Arabidopsis thaliana: one gene and its partner. The protein of the gene in region 1 interacts with the protein of each later gene in a pairwise test. Each region holds a gene or a part of one and is shown in the gene's direction. Other genes may lie near its edges. The genes, in order: CPK7 and AT5G44090.

Region 1 (6,933 bases):
ATGCAGAGCCCTGGTGGAAAAACAACTCCTTTGGTGTTGTACCTCAAGCGAGACCTTCTGGAATTCCATCAAATTCCTCTTCTTTGGATTGCCCCAATGGTTCCGAGTCAAACGATGTTCATTCAGCATCTGAAGACGGTGCGTTGAATGGTGAAAACGATGGCACTTGGAAGGATTCACAAGCTGCAACTTCCTCTCGTTCAGGTTTGAGTTCTTGGTCTTTAGGCCTACTTGGTGTATTGTTCATATTCATCATTTCTGCAGTACTGTTTTACTGGATGACCTAGTGATCACTGTCGAAAGTGATGTTGTTCCACGTTCGGAATGTTGCAACTTGGTGAAGAGTTGTTCCTCAAGCAGGCAGGGAAATTAAATGGGCATTTGTGTGATTCGGCACTATAGGGCGTGTCAAGTTCATGAATCTGGTCCTTGAAATATACTTGCATTGTAATTGTAGGGTTTCATAGTTCTATCCATGCCAAGGAGATTCTGTCTCGTTGATATGTGCATTGTGATTTCTTTATTTTGTTTGTAATGGTGTCTTTCTTCAACTTCAGTAGATAATCACGGAATGGAAGGAAATGACCCAGCGCTCTCTATCCGTAACATGCATGATCAGCCACTTGTACAACCACCAGAGCTTGTTGGACACTATATCGTATGTGGTTTCCTCTCATTCCTTAATATATATATATATATGCTTTATGAGTTCTTGAGCTGTTAAATTGACTTCTTATTGGTCCCTCAAAAGGATTTATCTTGTATAACGCCCTTTTCATATGTATGATAAACTCAAAACTTCCTTACAGGCTTGTGTCCCAAACCCATATCAGGATCCATATTATGGGGGATTGATGGGAGCATATGGTCATCAGCAATTGGTATCTTGTCGAAACCTCTTTCAATCTCTACAATAGTTCCATATGGTGCAGTGTTTATTTGATGTATGTGCGCTTTTGCCACTAAGTACCCGTTTGTGGTGATTTTATTTACTGTTGGAATGTGTCTGGGTTCAGCAATAGTCAGTGAGATGCTTTTAAAGTTCATTTCTGAAATAACTGAGAATCCAAAGTTATATCTGAAATTATCGAGAACAACTAATGGGGATTCTTGGGGTCTTATAAGTTATATGTAAAGTTTTCGATGATCTGAGTCTATTTGTTGCATTTATTTTGTTCATTGGTTTAAACAGGGTTTTCGTCCATATCTTGGAATGCCTCGTGAAAGAACAGCTCTGCCACTTGACATGGCACAAGAGCCCGTTTATGTGAATGCAAAGCAGTACGAGGGAATTCTAAGGCGAAGAAAAGCACGTGCCAAGGCAGAGCTAGAGAGGAAAGTCATCCGGGACAGAAAGGTATTTTTTTCTCATTTATGAAAATTGTACTTGATTGGTGTCCTGGTAATCTAAGGATGGTGTAGAGTCCATAATAGAAGTGGACCCATGCTATATGAAGGATTGATAATGAGCATTAAGAATTTGCAAGTTTGGTTTGTCGCTCGGTAAACTTGTATTGACTATGTTTGAAATGCGACAGCCATATCTTCACGAGTCAAGACACAAGCATGCAATGAGAAGGGCACGAGCGAGTGGAGGCCGGTTTGCGAAGAAAAGTGAGGTAGAAGCGGGAGAGGATGCAGGAGGGAGAGACAGAGAAAGGGGTTCAGCAACCAACTCATCAGGCTCTGAACAAGTTGAGACAGACTCTAATGAGACCCTGAATTCTTCTGGTGCACCATAATAAAAAAAGCCAAAGCTCTGAGAGGAGAGAGAGACACACACTTTGGCTAATATAATCATTGCCTCAAACCGGCAAATCATTCTTGGCTTTTTCGTTTTTGTGTTTGCTAGTTGTTCTTGTCAGAGTCTCATATTGTGTGGGTTTAACAGTTATGATGAATGTACAAAGAGCGAGTTATGTTAGGTGTTAGATTTTGGAGACAAGAGACTAAGGAATAGCAAGTAGGTCTTGTTTTTATTCTTTGACCTTTTTTTTCTCTTTTGCAAAATTGAAAAATACGTTTGCTTAATCGTTTGCCTTTCTGACCACAAAGTGTTAACAAGGCTATAACAATGCTTCAGATTTGTAGTCAAATTCTCTGTTTTCGCCAACTTAAACATTATTTGACCGGAGGAGAGTGATTAGAAAGTAGAAGAAACCTATTAAACATTATGTTTTGCAAAGAAAAAAAAAACAGCTTGCAATAAGTTGCATAGTTTGCTCATGGAAGTTTCAAGTTTGCATATAAACCAGATTTGAAAAGGACAGTGAAAAAAAAGAAGTTGTTAAATCTACAACGGGCAGATCGATTATTTATATCAACAAAAAACACGAAGAGCATATGAAAGAGAATATGGAAACACATAAAAAATTAAGAGTTGTCATTCTTTGAATCCCCGCAAGCAAGAAGAAGAAGAAGAAGAAGAGAGTCAATTTGTGTGTTTTGTCATTTGAAGAAGAGAGAGAAAGAGGAAGACTTTGACTCGTCTTCTTCCTCTCTTCTTCTCTCTCTATCACTGCATTTGTTTTTCCTCACAGCGTATGATGACTTTTCTCTTTAATTTATCCTTTTTAGCTACATATCTTCTTTTGCTTCAACTGATTTATACCCATTTAAATGTTTCTACCCATTATAAGTTCTGAGGTCTGTGTTTTCCCTCTTTCCCTTGTCTTTGATCTTAGCTAGGGTTTACTAATCTGGTTTGAGTATATTAGATTAGGGTTCTGTTTGATTTAGGATATGTTGTTAATTAGAAATAGTTATTGGCTTAAGTTACTAATGGAACCTTGAAGAACAGTGCTCAAAGTTTTAATCTTTCTGGGTTTTTCAGGAACCTTGAGATTTGATTAGATGGGGAATTGTTGTGGCAATCCGAGTTCGGCTACGAACCAGAGTAAACAAGGGAAACCCAAGAACAAAAACAATCCTTTTTACAGCAATGAATACGCTACAACAGATAGATCTGGAGCTGGTTTTAAGCTCTCTGTGCTGAAAGATCCTACAGGACATGATATATCCTTGCAGTATGATCTTGGACGTGAGGTTGGTCGAGGCGAGTTTGGTATAACTTACTTGTGTACTGATAAGGAAACTGGTGAGAAGTATGCCTGCAAGTCCATATCTAAGAAGAAGCTGAGAACAGCAGTTGATATAGAGGATGTTAGGAGGGAGGTTGAGATTATGAAGCATATGCCTAAACACCCAAATGTCGTCTCTTTGAAGGATTCCTTTGAGGATGATGATGCGGTGCATATAGTTATGGAGTTGTGTGAAGGAGGGGAACTGTTTGATCGGATTGTTGCAAGAGGTCATTACACTGAGCGGGCTGCTGCTGCGGTTATGAAGACTATTGTTGAAGTTGTTCAGGTTCCATATATAGCTGTGTTTACAATGTCTGAAGTCCCCAATTCCTTTTGTCTGTGTTTTATGTTCACACATCGCTGGTTTGTCTTTACAGATATGCCATAAGCAAGGAGTGATGCATCGGGATCTCAAACCAGAGAACTTTCTTTTTGCAAATAAGAAAGAGACATCAGCCCTTAAGGCCATTGATTTTGGATTATCTGTATTCTTCAAACCTGGTACATTTACAACATCAGCTTTTGATGAGTATCAATGGAGCACATTTATTAGTGTATCTTTACTTGAGCTGAATTTTCTAAACTGTAACAGGTGAGCAGTTTAATGAGATTGTTGGAAGTCCTTATTACATGGCACCCGAGGTGCTGCGGCGAAACTATGGTCCTGAGATCGATGTGTGGAGCGCTGGAGTTATCCTCTATATCCTACTTTGTGGTGTTCCGCCATTTTGGGCAGGTTTGTTTATGCTTTACCGCATTCTCTTTGTTTCCTCTGGCTTATTCACTTTAAGACCTCTTTCAGACGTTTTTATCTTTCTTTTGGGTACAGAGACTGAGCAAGGGGTGGCTCAAGCGATCATTAGATCAGTTATTGACTTTAAGAGAGATCCATGGCCAAGAGTTTCTGACAGCGCCAAAGACCTTGTGAGAAAGATGCTTGAACCTGATCCCAAAAAACGGCTTACTGCTGCACAAGTTCTCGGTAGGCTTCTGTTTTCAGCAAGGCTGAGCTTTCTGAAATCGTAAACTCATAAATAAATATTCCATTTGCAGAACATACTTGGATACTGAATGCAAAGAAGGCTCCAAATGTCTCTCTTGGGGAGACTGTGAAAGCAAGACTAAAGCAGTTTTCTGTTATGAACAAGCTCAAGAAACGAGCTCTACGAGTATTGATTCTGTTAAACCATGTCACTGATTATCGATTTGCTTCCAGTCTGATTCAGAATCAAAAATGAAAATGTAAATTTGTTTCGTCCTTCTAGGTGATAGCTGAACATTTGTCAGTGGAGGAAGCAGCAGGGATAAAGGAAGCATTTGAAATGATGGACGTAAACAAGAGAGGCAAGATAAATCTCGAGGAGCTTAAATATGGACTTCAAAAAGCTGGACAACAGATAGCTGATACTGATCTTCAAATTCTTATGGAAGCTGTATGAATCTTTCATTTCAGAGCGATTAGCTCGAAACAAGTGCTATATCACTTCTGAAAATTAAAACTCTTTTTTTTTGTTTCCTGCAGACTGATGTTGATGGGGATGGGACACTGAACTATAGCGAGTTTGTTGCTGTTTCAGTCCACCTTAAGAAGATGGCGAATGATGAACACTTGCATAAAGCTTTTAACTTCTTTGATCAGAACCAGAGTGGTTACATAGAGATTGACGAACTTCGTGAAGCCTTGAATGATGAATTGGATAATACTAGCAGTGAGGAAGTAATCGCAGCCATCATGCAAGATGTTGATACCGACAAGGTAAAGCTGTCTGAATCTTTTCAAACGCGCGACATTCTTGACTTCTCCACTCATTTTGATATCTTGTTTCGTGTGATCAGGATGGACGAATAAGCTATGAAGAGTTTGTTGCGATGATGAAAGCTGGGACAGATTGGAGAAAAGCGTCAAGACAGTATTCTCGGGAAAGATTCAACAGTTTAAGCCTCAAGTTAATGAGAGATGGTTCATTGCAATTAGAAGGCGAGACCTAAGAAAGCAAGAGACAAAAGTTTGAATCTTTTTGAAAAAGCAGCAGCAGAAGAAGAAGAAGAAAGAAGCGTCAGCATTGTCAAAAAGAAATAACTATTATGTTCTATAAGCATTTAACACGGTAATGATAGAAAGATTGGTCGTGGTCGTAGGTTTTGTTTAGGGCTTTCAATTTGTTTGAAAAGTTCTTCAATGGACAGCGATGTGATTGATGATGATGTCGAACAAGTTTCTGAGATTCCAAAGATACGAGTTTTGTGATTGTAATTCATATATTTATAAGATGGTGTAAGATGCTTCGTGAAAGACACGCGCCAGTTGGATTCTCTCGATAGTGAGGTCCACCAGATATATAAAATAAGAAAAAACCCTTAAAACTCCGAAAGAAAGATTCTTCTTTTTCGCTGACTCTCCACTTCTCTCAATCGTCCGCCTCTACCTACAGAGAGAGAGACTGAACCAGACGACTTTCAGTTTCAGTTCCAGTTTCAAAGATCTCTTTTTCGTTTCTCGCTGTCTGTAGCATCAATGGCAATCGCTTCCTGCTTCTTCTGTGTTCCAACACCGAACACAGCTATCTCTGAATCCAATCTGACATGGCCTCACATCGCTTCGTTTCCTAGACTCTCTTCATCTTCCTCTTTTAACGGTGTAATCTCTGCAAAGTCAATCTCTTTTAACCGCCGTGTACCTATTACCCCTGTTTTATCCGCTTCAAGTGGTAACGGCGGCTCTGATAACAACGGAGGAGGTCTTAGTGGTGGTGGTGGTGGTGGCGATGGAGGTAAGAATGATGGAGATGGACACGGTGACGAGGACAGGGATAGGAACAGGAACGAGGCGATGCTTTTGTTGAAGGAGTCTGGGATTGAATTGGAGAGTCTTCCCAAAGATCTAGCGGCTGCTATTGAGGCGGGTCGGATTCCTGGATCGGTTATCACTCGGTTCCTGGAGCTTCAGAAATCGGCTGTGATGCGGTGGCTGATGCAGTTTGGTGGGTTTAGGGAAAGATTGTTGGCTGATGATCTCTTCATGGCTAAACTCGCCATGGAATGTGGTGTTGGAATCTTCACCAAGGTCTCTCCTTTCTCTTATTCACTTGATAACTAATTTGACTTGCAAGTTTCGATTTTTATTTTCCTTCTTTATCTGATTTCTGGATTGCTTTTGGTTTTTAATCGTGACTTGGCTGCTTAACAAATCGAGCACCTTTTGTTCTCTCTGAAATGCTACCAGAGCAAGCTGATATTTATCATAATGTGTTGCTTGTTTTGTTACAGACTGCTGCTGAGTATGAACGGCGTAGAGAAAACTTCTTCAATGAACTTGAAGTTGTCTTTGCCGATGTGGTAATCATTCTTCTTGCTCACTTTTTCCTTTGGTGACTTTCTGTTTAAGTGTCCTTGTCAGATCGCAGGAACTTACTATGAGAAATTATGAGATGGTAGGGATGGATGAGAAAATTGAGAACAAAAATCTTTTAGGTGACCCATTCGGGTAGACGAAAGGTTAAGGGTAGTTTGTGGTTGTTATGGGGTCTGCAAATTTTCACCATATGTTTTTGCGTGACTATGAAAGTAGTTGAGATTTGATTTGTCTCTGAGGTAAGAGCCAATATTTGAACTGTTCAATAGCAAATTTGGAGAAACATAAAAGTAAAAGGTCACCCTTTACTGCTTTGTCACTTTGTAAGTCAAAGTTCCTTGAACTATCTGGCAAATACATACACAGTAGTTTTGTCACTGCTATGTTTCTCTGCTGAATGATATTGGACTTAAGCTGAATGCACTGTTTTACTTCTTTCTTTTCTTTATTAGGCGATGGCTATTATTGCTGATTTCATGTTGGTTTATCTTCCTGCTC
Region 2 (9,282 bases), about 14 Mb from region 1:
TGTCAACTCCTATAGAGGTTAGGTTACAACAACTTGACAAACCGAAAGGATTTTCATTTTGGCATTGGTAGGTAATCTAGCTTTTCTAACTGAGCTTGGAATGTTTCGATGTAGGTATTGTGTAAAAACCAACCGTCCGAGTTCGTTTCATACTTTCATTACTGCCGATCTTTACGGTTTGATGACAAACCTGATTACTCTTACCTCAAGAGGCTTTTCCGTGACTTGTTTATCCGAGAAGGTTCTTATCTTAACATCATTATTCCGAGAAATTTTATTCGCTTACTGTTTCAAGCCACTCTCATCTTATCTTTTTCATATTGTTGAAACTCTTACAGGTTATCAATTCGATTATGTATTTGACTGGACAGTCTTAAAGTATCCTCAAATCGGATCCAGCTCTGGTTCTAGTTCACGAACAAGGGTGATTATTAAAAATCTTATACTTGTGTTTTTACCCTCATGGTTTTTGAGTTTCTCTGTACTTACGTAAATGTAAATCTTTGGATTTTCCAGCATCATACAACAGCGAAACCCGGATTCAACGCAGATCCTATTGAAAGACAAGAGAGGATCCTAGGTAAAATTCTGCTTTTCCTACTTCTATTAAAAATCTCAAAACCATACACATCCATTCCTCACTCTAATTTCTACTCTTTTTTTATTTACCATTCGTGTAGGAAAGGAAACAACCCGATATAAAATCCCAGGTGCAGTGGAGGCATTCTCCAGAAGACACCCGACTACAACTTCTTCGCCTCGAGATCGTTCTAGATCAAGAAACTCAGACGACGGACCTTTCTCTAAGCAGACAGTAAAAATCTTACTCTTTACATACATTGTTGATCAGAACCGCTAAATAAGACAAAGACCTAACTGTGTTTGTTTTATTTGTGCAGCATGGAGACTCCGAAAGAGCAAACAGTTCCTCAAGATATAGAGCATCTTCTTCTAGGAAAGCCGTTGCTGCTTCAAGCTCCCGGCCAAGTTCTGCAGGTGGACCAAGCGAAAGCCGAACTTCAAGTCGTCTGGTTTCCTCAAGCGGTGGTGGTGGCAGCGGCAGTGGAAATGGCCGTCCCTCAACTAGCCAGAGAGTGCAAGCTGGATATGAATCCAAGACTCTGTCTTTCTCTCGTGCAACAGCGGCAAGAAACACTCGGGAAGATCAATTAAGAAGCTTCGAGCTTCTCTCTCTTCGGAAATAAAGGAAAATGATGGAGAGAGAGACAGCAAACTCCATGAAAACCCAAAGAAATTACCTCTGAAGAAAGATGAGAATCTTGGTTTGAGGGAATTCATATATTTGAACCTGATGAAATCCTCAGATCTTTTTACATGTAATTTCAGCTTCAGCTTGCAGAGATCTTTTTCACTCGTTTTGTTTATGTAATCGTGATATGTGTTAGACAAACATAACAATCAAAAATGTAGAGAGAGTTTCCATGTAAAAACGGTAAAATTTCTATCCGTATATTCGATTACTTCGAACCTATCTGTACTGGTACTGTAATAAACAAAACAATCAACTGCTCTTTGGTCTCTTTTAATGCTTCTGTTTTTTTGGGGCAGGCATACTCTGGTCAAATCATGTAAAAACGGTGAAATTTTGGCTTAATAGTAAAATTAGCTCATCTACTTAGTCAAATCATACTTTAGATGACTCCAATCTAAAACTCTTTATTTTTATTTTTTCCATACTTCAAATGTTTACTTATTCACTGATCGTATACTTGAATGGTTATAGTTAAACTCTTCACATTTTGTTAGCGCTCATCTTCGAATAAAGTGGCAAAACTGAATTTCATATTGAAGTTACACATATAAAATACATTCATTTTTAGATTCATATGATCTACTCCTACATACTTTTGCATTTCGACTAAAAAAGCAAGTGCTCCAATACAATTTTTGAGAAATGACAAATATTCATCATCATTCTTCAAAACTAGGTTTACACATGTGAAGTCACATTTTTATGACTTTAATGAATCAGTTGCAATCTTGATGATAACAGTCGAAACGTCATGAAGTTTAACAACCAAACAAACAATTTGATCGCTAATTTCTGCGATTTATTAATTGACTCGAGACTCAAATAAACATGATCGCAAAAACGGATAAAGAACGCTGGATTTGGTTGACTTTTTGGTCAACGTTGAGGACTAAAAGTGGAAAACAAAAATACCACCACCACCGCTAGTACTACTGCGTCTGAGACTGAGAGAGAGTATTAAAATCAAAATTAAATACTTTTTCCTTTTTAATTCATTTTCTCATCAATAACACAATCTCCCTGGAAAAATTCTCTACGACTTCCTCTCGTCGTCGAGCTTGTTATTGATCGGAGAGAGAGATCAGTGTTCTTTGGATCTTCCAATTTCTTCCACGTTTGTGCTTGAATTGCAGAAGAAGTTTTGTATAGGACTCTGTTTTGCTTGTTGATAGAATTTGGGAATCTAGGGTTTATCGAATCGTTTATTTTGGTTTTCGTTTAGTTTCTCTTCTTCGAGCTGGTGTTTCTCAACTAGTTAGAGAGTTTCTCGATTGGTCAGAGCTGCTTTTATTGAATTTTCTTTGGATTTCGTGCTTATAGATCTTTGAAAAGTCTGAGAATCCTGTTTTGGAGTTACTGCTTCAAGTTATTGGAAGAAATTAGGGTTTCGATCCAATTTTAGAATTGACTCAAGGAATTCCGATATTGGGGTTTTGTTGTAGTTCTGATTCTCAGTGAATAAGATAGAAGATAATCATGGAAATCGATGGTGGAAACGATGTTCAGATTTTGGATCCTGAGCTCTTGCAGCTTCCCGGTTTGTCTCCTGTATCACTTAAAGAAAATCCTCATATTGCTGAAGAACTCTTCTCCCAGTGGCTTTCACTTCCTGAAACTGGCCGATTGGTAATTTTATTCCCAAGCCTCTGGCTCAGTGGCTCCTTAGCGTCGTTTGGTTTCTTGTTCATTTAATAGTTGGCGCCTGTTTTATGTATATGCTGATACCTGTTCGTAAGTCCTTGTTGTGACTTTATCTGATTTCAAGTCAATTTCTGCAGAGCAAGATTCAACATGCTTATTGCTCTTACTGAATCCTCGGCTGTTGCATATTTAGTAGTTTTGTTTATTTCTTATAGATTTTACTTAGTGTTAGATAAAGAGTGCTTGAATAGCACATTTAGGGGTTATAATGACTTAGGTGATAATAGTACTGGGATATTACAAGGCTCTGCTAAACTTGAGAAGTGTTTGTATTTGTGTAGTACCAGATTTAACTTAAAGCTCCTGAGAATATGGTCCAGTGTTGTATGCCGATTGCCGACTCATGTTGGTGAAGAAACTTTTGGTGGTTGTTTTTCGTTTAAGGTTTTACGTGGTCCTCTTTTAACAGTTCATCTGTGTGATGTTTGTGCAGGTCAAGTCTTTAATTGATGATACTAAATCTAGTACCCCAGTCAGTGTATCCAAAAATTGTACTAGTCTCAATGTTGCTTGCGGGAGTGCATTGCCATCTGTTTTTCTGAACAGCGGCACTCCCCCACTATCCCCACGAGGCTCACCTGGGTCTCCCCGTTTCTCGAGGCAAAAGACAAGCCCTTCTCTACAGTCTCCTCTGAAATCAGTCAGGGAACCAAAGCGCCAACTCATTCCACAGGTTCGATTTTTTATCCAACTGCTCCTCATATGGATGTCTTACAAACAACATGAGAAGGCACTACCTTGCTTGACAGTTGACATCATGATTTGATTGTTTTATATATGCTCACGTAATTGTTGAAACTAGACTGTAATAGTTTTCTAAGTAGATGGAGAACCACGAGAACAAATACAATAGAAACTAAATTCTTCGTTCAAGTAGCATAGGTACAATTTTTTTTTTAACAAAACGATGACAACAAGTAAGTTTATTATGGTCATCCGTTTGACATCTTACATAGTTGAAGGGTTTAGCTAATATTGTTCAACATTCTTGTTTGACGCTTCTATGCCTTGATATGCTATGCAGTTTTACTTCCAACATGGACGTCCACCTGCGAAGGAACTAAGGGAGCAATGTATATCCATGGTTGATCAATTTTTTAGTAACTATATAGACGGACTTCATATGGATGGTGATGTTTAAATACAAGCTTTTTTACATCACAGTCCCGTTCTGTAATGAATAGACAAACAGTTGATCTTACAAACACATTCTTGCTATTGTTCAATTGCAGAATTCAAATCCATTACTAAAGAAGTCTGCAAGCTGCCTTCTTTTCTTTCCTCTGTACTATTTAGAAAGATAGACACGAGTGGCACCGGTATCGTTACAAGGTAAATCATTGTGTTCTTTCTTTTCATATGTAATTGTAGTTAAATGTATATATCCACTGGTATTCATATGTGTTTCATGTAATATAATAATAGATCACATTGGTCTGGATTTCCAGATGCACGCTCAGCTATTTGTTTCATAAATTGCTCACCCTTAAAAGAAATGGAATGTGGCATAGTAATTTTAATACCTGATTGTTATCTTTTTATTTATTTATGCCACTCGAATATAATTTCTTTTTACTTTCAATAAATTTAGTGTGCTCGATTTTATATATTGTTTAGAACATTTGTGATAAGTAATATTGAAGTTTCTACCCTGTAGATATTGTTTGGAATTGATACATCTTTAAATTAGCCAAATCATGAGTAATATCATAGAAATATACAGCAGCTGTAATCTTTCTGTTTAGCTAGTATCTTTTAAATACACCATATTTGGTTCCTGCAGGGATGCATTTATCAAGTATTGGGTTGATGGACATATGTTGGCAATGGACGTAGCCTCACAGATATATAATATTTTAAGGCAGCCAGGTTGCAAGTACCTTAGACAGGTCTCTTTGTTTTCTTTTCCCAGCTCTTCACTGCTGTTTTGATTTGTTTACCAATGATTATTGTCTCACTTGATTTCTTTAGTCCTGAAGGCTAATGTCTTCTTTTGGATTTGGGATAGGCTGACTTCAAACCAGTTCTTGATGAGCTTCTGACAACTCATCCCGGCTTGGAATTCCTGAGGAATACACCTGAGTTTCAAGAAAGATATGGTAAGAACTTGGTTTTTGATACATTGATGTTATGGTGTGAAATAGTTCTACCAGAATGTCTGTTTTCTACTAAGACGTTCGTACAATTTCTTTCCATATATATATGATCTTTCAAAACGCATTGACGAACTTGAAAGTGACATCTTTAGCTGGCTTGATTGGCCTAGGCAATAATTCTTCTAATTTTAATTCTATGTACTTGTTCATTATAATTACATTTTGAAAATTATGAGATGCTTCTTAAATATAGTATATTTTCAGGTGCTTACTGTTTTATACATCTATTGACTAATTCATAATTTTTCCCGTGCTTGTTTCATTCATCTCTGTGTTCTATTCCGTCAACCCAGCTGAGACCGTCATCTACAGAATATTTTACTACATAAACAGATCAGGTACTGGTTGCATTACTCTTAGAGAGCTGAAGCGTGGGAATCTTATTACTGCCATGCAACAAGTTGATGAAGAAGACGACATCAATAAAGTTATTAGGTGACTTTGTTTTCCTTTTCATTATTTCTTAAACAATACGTTAAAAAGATTAAGATTTTAGTTTTATTTGTATAATAAAGACCACTTTAAGTTGTTTAAGAATTCAAGCTCAGCAAGGTGTGTAGCATTGTGAGTAATATGGGTAGTGCATAGGTCTTCGAATTGTTTCTTAGACATAAGCACTACCCATAAAACTCATAAAGAGGAAGAAGTGTATTGGTAGTTCATATTGTGATACTGTGGCAAGACATCATGCATGATTTGACCATTCAATATGACCTTTTCTTTACTTTTCAGGTACTTCTCCTATGAGCATTTCTACGTGATATACTGCAGATTTTGGGAACTCGATGGCGACCATGATTTCCTTATTGATAAGGAAAATCTCATCAAATATGGTAATCATGCCCTTACCTACAGGATTGTCGACAGAATATTTTCACAGGTTGGCTCCAGTTGTCAAAATGTTAATGAACACTTTTCTCGAAACTTAATTGTTATCTTATGGAGTGTGTTTCCTTCTTTCTTAATTGAAATTACGGCTGTCTCTCACTCAGGTTCCTAGGAAATTTACAAGCAAAGTTGAGGGGAAGATGAGTTATGAAGATTTTGCATACTTTATTCTCGCTGAGGAGGATAAGTCATCTGAGCCTAGTCTTGAGTATTGGTACATGTCTCTTCCCCTCTTCTCTTTTTGTCTTTAGTGACTTCTCTTTAGCCATTTTGTCCTTTAGCTGCTTAGCTCACAGTATGTCACTATAAATGTATAACTTCTGAGCCAAAACTTGTGGCATATGTGGCCTTCTTGATGATACAAGCCTACCTGATATTTTGAACGCACTAAACATTTAGTAGTACTATTATTTCATGAACATAGGATACCCATCTTGAATCTAAGACATTTTCATTCATCATCTCATGAACCTAGAACATTTTCATTCATCATCTCATGAATCTAGAACATTTTCAGTTGAACCGCTGATATGAGGGCATACCTCGCTGGTATGCTCATCTATCTCCCATCGATGTTAAACACAGGTTCTTGGCAGTTTTTTGTTTTTCGTTTTCCCTTGATATTGATTAAAACCATCTTTGCAGGTTCAAGTGCATAGACCTAGATGGAGATGGGGTGATCACTCCCAACGAGATGCAGTTTTTCTACGAAGAGCAGCTGCATCGCATGGAATGTATAACCCAGGAACCTGTACTCTTTGAAGATATCCTATGTCAAATATTCGACATGATTAAACCAGAGGCAAAATTTCTTTTAAACCATAACATGGTCTTTTGATATTCCTGGCTTGTCTGTTCCTTTGCTCTTATTCGCATCATCAATTTGTCGAATGACTCTTTCAGAAGGAGAACTGCATCACACTCCAGGATCTGAAAGCATCCAAACTTTCTGGAAATATTTTCAATATACTCTTTAACCTGAACAAATTCATGGCGTTTGAAACCCGTGACCCTTTTCTCATTCGTCAGGTAAACATAGGTTTTCTATAGAGTTTTCCTCCCTTTGGTTATTCAATCCTTCGTTTAGCTGTTGAAACTGTTACTACTGAATATTTATTAATGCCATAAAAATTCGCAAAAATTATTATAAGTTCAGATAGTCACCTACTACTGCAGCCGGTTGTATCTGTTCCAGTCTCTGCTACTTCTAAACCAACTTTGTTTTCCATTTGACAGGAACGTGAGAATCCAACATTGACGGAATGGGACCGATTTGCTCAGAGAGAGTATGTGAGGTTGTCAATGGAGGAAGATGTGGAGGAAGTCTCGAATGGGAGTGCAGATGTTTGGGATGAACCACTCGAATCTCCATTTTAGTGACTCGTAAGAGGTACTTTGTTCAACACTGGTCAGCATCATGTTCCTTATGCATGTATGAAATAGCAAAATTGATGTGCTCAATGTTACAAGTTTGTATCTTTTGGTATATTAAACGTATTAAAAGCCGTTTTCGTTGCTTTTTTTACTAGTTTCTTGGGAAGAAGAGGGAGAAGTCAGATCTTCTTGGGTGGTAAGAGCCTCGGAAACAATTTTCAGACAGACAACCACGAAAGCCAGTCCATTCCACGGTTCCACCTAGAGATTGGCGACCAAGAGACTTATCCGATGCGTAAGCTTGTGTTAGTTTCATGAAATATTTGTCTTGCTTAGGTTTCTCAGGTTGGACCCTCTTTCAATCTTATGTATATTATTATATACGCCGCTTTATAGTGTTTTGTGGAACCAACAACAACGGTTTTATTTAAAATCGAAAGAACTATGTACAAAGACACTTTTTTTTGTGGGAAGAAATTTACAAACCTTGAAACTTGTTTTACATGATCATTGTTTTTGCTTTTTCCTCATTAGCAAATTTGTGCCTATGATATCAACTACAATTCTCGTATAAACTATAGAATATCAAATCAAATTATATACTATATATCAGTTTTTGATTGGTTTGAGCCGACATTGGTTATTTGTTTGTATAAGAATCATTAAAACTTTGTTTGTCAATATGATATTTTGGAAGATGTGTTAAAAAGTCGTGCATTTTGTTTTAACAAGCATGAACTCACTTTCTATGGCGGTTAAAAATAAGGGAATTTGACACGTTTAGACATTTTTAAAGAATTTTATTCTTTTTGAGGCACTTGTCACGGATGAAGCACTTTTCCAACTTTTTCATTAAACTTTTGACCAATTTATCTCTGAAAATTAAGAAATTATAATAAAAAAAAAAAGTTTCATCTTTCCACGTTCCTTTTTTTTTCTTCTTCTTCGTCGCTTCTTCTTTTCACTCTCTTTCTCTCTCTTCTCATTATTACTTTTTTTCTTTCCTTGCAAAATCAAACATTTGAGAGTTTGTCAAGATCGTGTAGCTTCTGTATTTTTCTTTACGGAGAAGCCTCTCTAAAGAAAACGGAGAATAAATAGTAAGGGTGTCGTTGCGACCACTTTTACATGAGATGTTGGTATCGTCGGCATCACTAGACTAAACGGCGATCACTTTTATAGTCGTTGCGACTCTTTTCATGAGAATGATGATGTTAGTCTCCAGTGGCGGATCTAGAACCATAATTAACCTGGGGCACAACATAGCTAACATATAAATTTTAAAAATAAAATACAATATAAACATTTTTTAAAAGACATGTAAATGGAAAAAGAAAAAATTGAAGTGTCCTTGTATTAGCATAATTCTTTCAAAGAGTTATAGAAAAAGATAAATTTGGAAAAATAAGTTAAATACTGAAAACATTTATTACTTGAAAATAGTAAAAATAATGAGTAATAACCAACTGATTAGAAAAAAAATCACTATAACATGGGGCACAACAAACGAATTCTTTCATCTCCAATACAAATTGCACATCAAACTTCAAAATTATCAAATCTTGCATGGGGCACGTGCCCCAGTACTCATACACTTGCGTCCGCCCCTGTTAGTCTCTACATACATTACACGCAAGTAAGTTAAAAAAAAATCAGTCGCCGATCGCTGACGTATCGATTACAAAAAGAACAGGGTCATTCCTTTTCAAAAGCCATAGAATTTGATAGCAAAAAACTTAGAGATAAGTTCAAGTAAACTGAGATAAAAGAGTAAAGAAGTACGTGTCCAGAAATCGCTGTCCACAGAGGTTTGTTCATTTAACTCTGTTAAGATGATCTTCTCGATTGGATTTTAAGGTTTTAAAATACAAGTCCAAGTTTGATTTTATA

Evidence for each region.
Region 2: the proteins of CPK7 (region 1) and AT5G44090 interact in a protein complementation assay, tested with the Arabidopsis thaliana proteins (one large-scale study listed by BioGRID).

The regions. Positions count from the first base shown.
Region 1 is NC_003076.8:4,045,956-4,052,888, reverse strand, and holds CPK7 (calmodulin-domain protein kinase 7), read left to right. Parts: upstream 1-2,245; 5' UTR 2,246-2,541; intron 2,542-2,833; 5' UTR 2,834-2,853; coding exon 2,854-3,369; intron 3,370-3,460; coding exon 3,461-3,584; intron 3,585-3,675; coding exon 3,676-3,819; intron 3,820-3,912; coding exon 3,913-4,065; intron 4,066-4,136; coding exon 4,137-4,252; intron 4,253-4,348; coding exon 4,349-4,516; intron 4,517-4,605; coding exon 4,606-4,839; intron 4,840-4,919; coding exon 4,920-5,072; 3' UTR 5,073-5,376; downstream 5,377-6,933. Other genes in the region: NF-YA1 (nuclear factor Y, subunit A1), read left to right, coding at 1-204, 558-658, 810-881, 1,193-1,357, 1,539-1,742; AT5G12470 (UvrABC system C protein, putative (DUF3411)), read left to right, coding at 5,599-6,147, 6,351-6,419, 6,888-6,933. UniProt on the Arabidopsis thaliana protein: May play a role in signal transduction pathways that involve calcium as a second messenger.
Region 2 is NC_003076.8:17,741,377-17,750,658, reverse strand, and holds AT5G44090 (Calcium-binding EF-hand family protein), read left to right. Parts: upstream 1-2,133; 5' UTR 2,134-2,749; coding exon of another isoform or gene 2,750-2,899; 5' UTR 2,900-3,064; coding exon 3,065-3,319; intron 3,320-3,407; coding exon 3,408-3,647; intron 3,648-3,998; coding exon 3,999-4,104; intron 4,105-4,206; coding exon 4,207-4,306; intron 4,307-4,757; coding exon 4,758-4,863; intron 4,864-4,982; coding exon 4,983-5,073; intron 5,074-5,423; coding exon 5,424-5,565; intron 5,566-5,862; coding exon 5,863-6,010; intron 6,011-6,122; coding exon 6,123-6,232; intron 6,233-6,663; coding exon 6,664-6,820; intron 6,821-6,921; coding exon 6,922-7,047; intron 7,048-7,254; coding exon 7,255-7,395; 3' UTR 7,396-7,408; intron 7,409-7,547; 3' UTR 7,548-7,893; downstream 7,894-9,282. Other genes in the region: ckl7 (casein kinase I-like 7), read left to right, coding at 1-17, 115-241, 339-424, 517-580, 681-814, 900-1,205.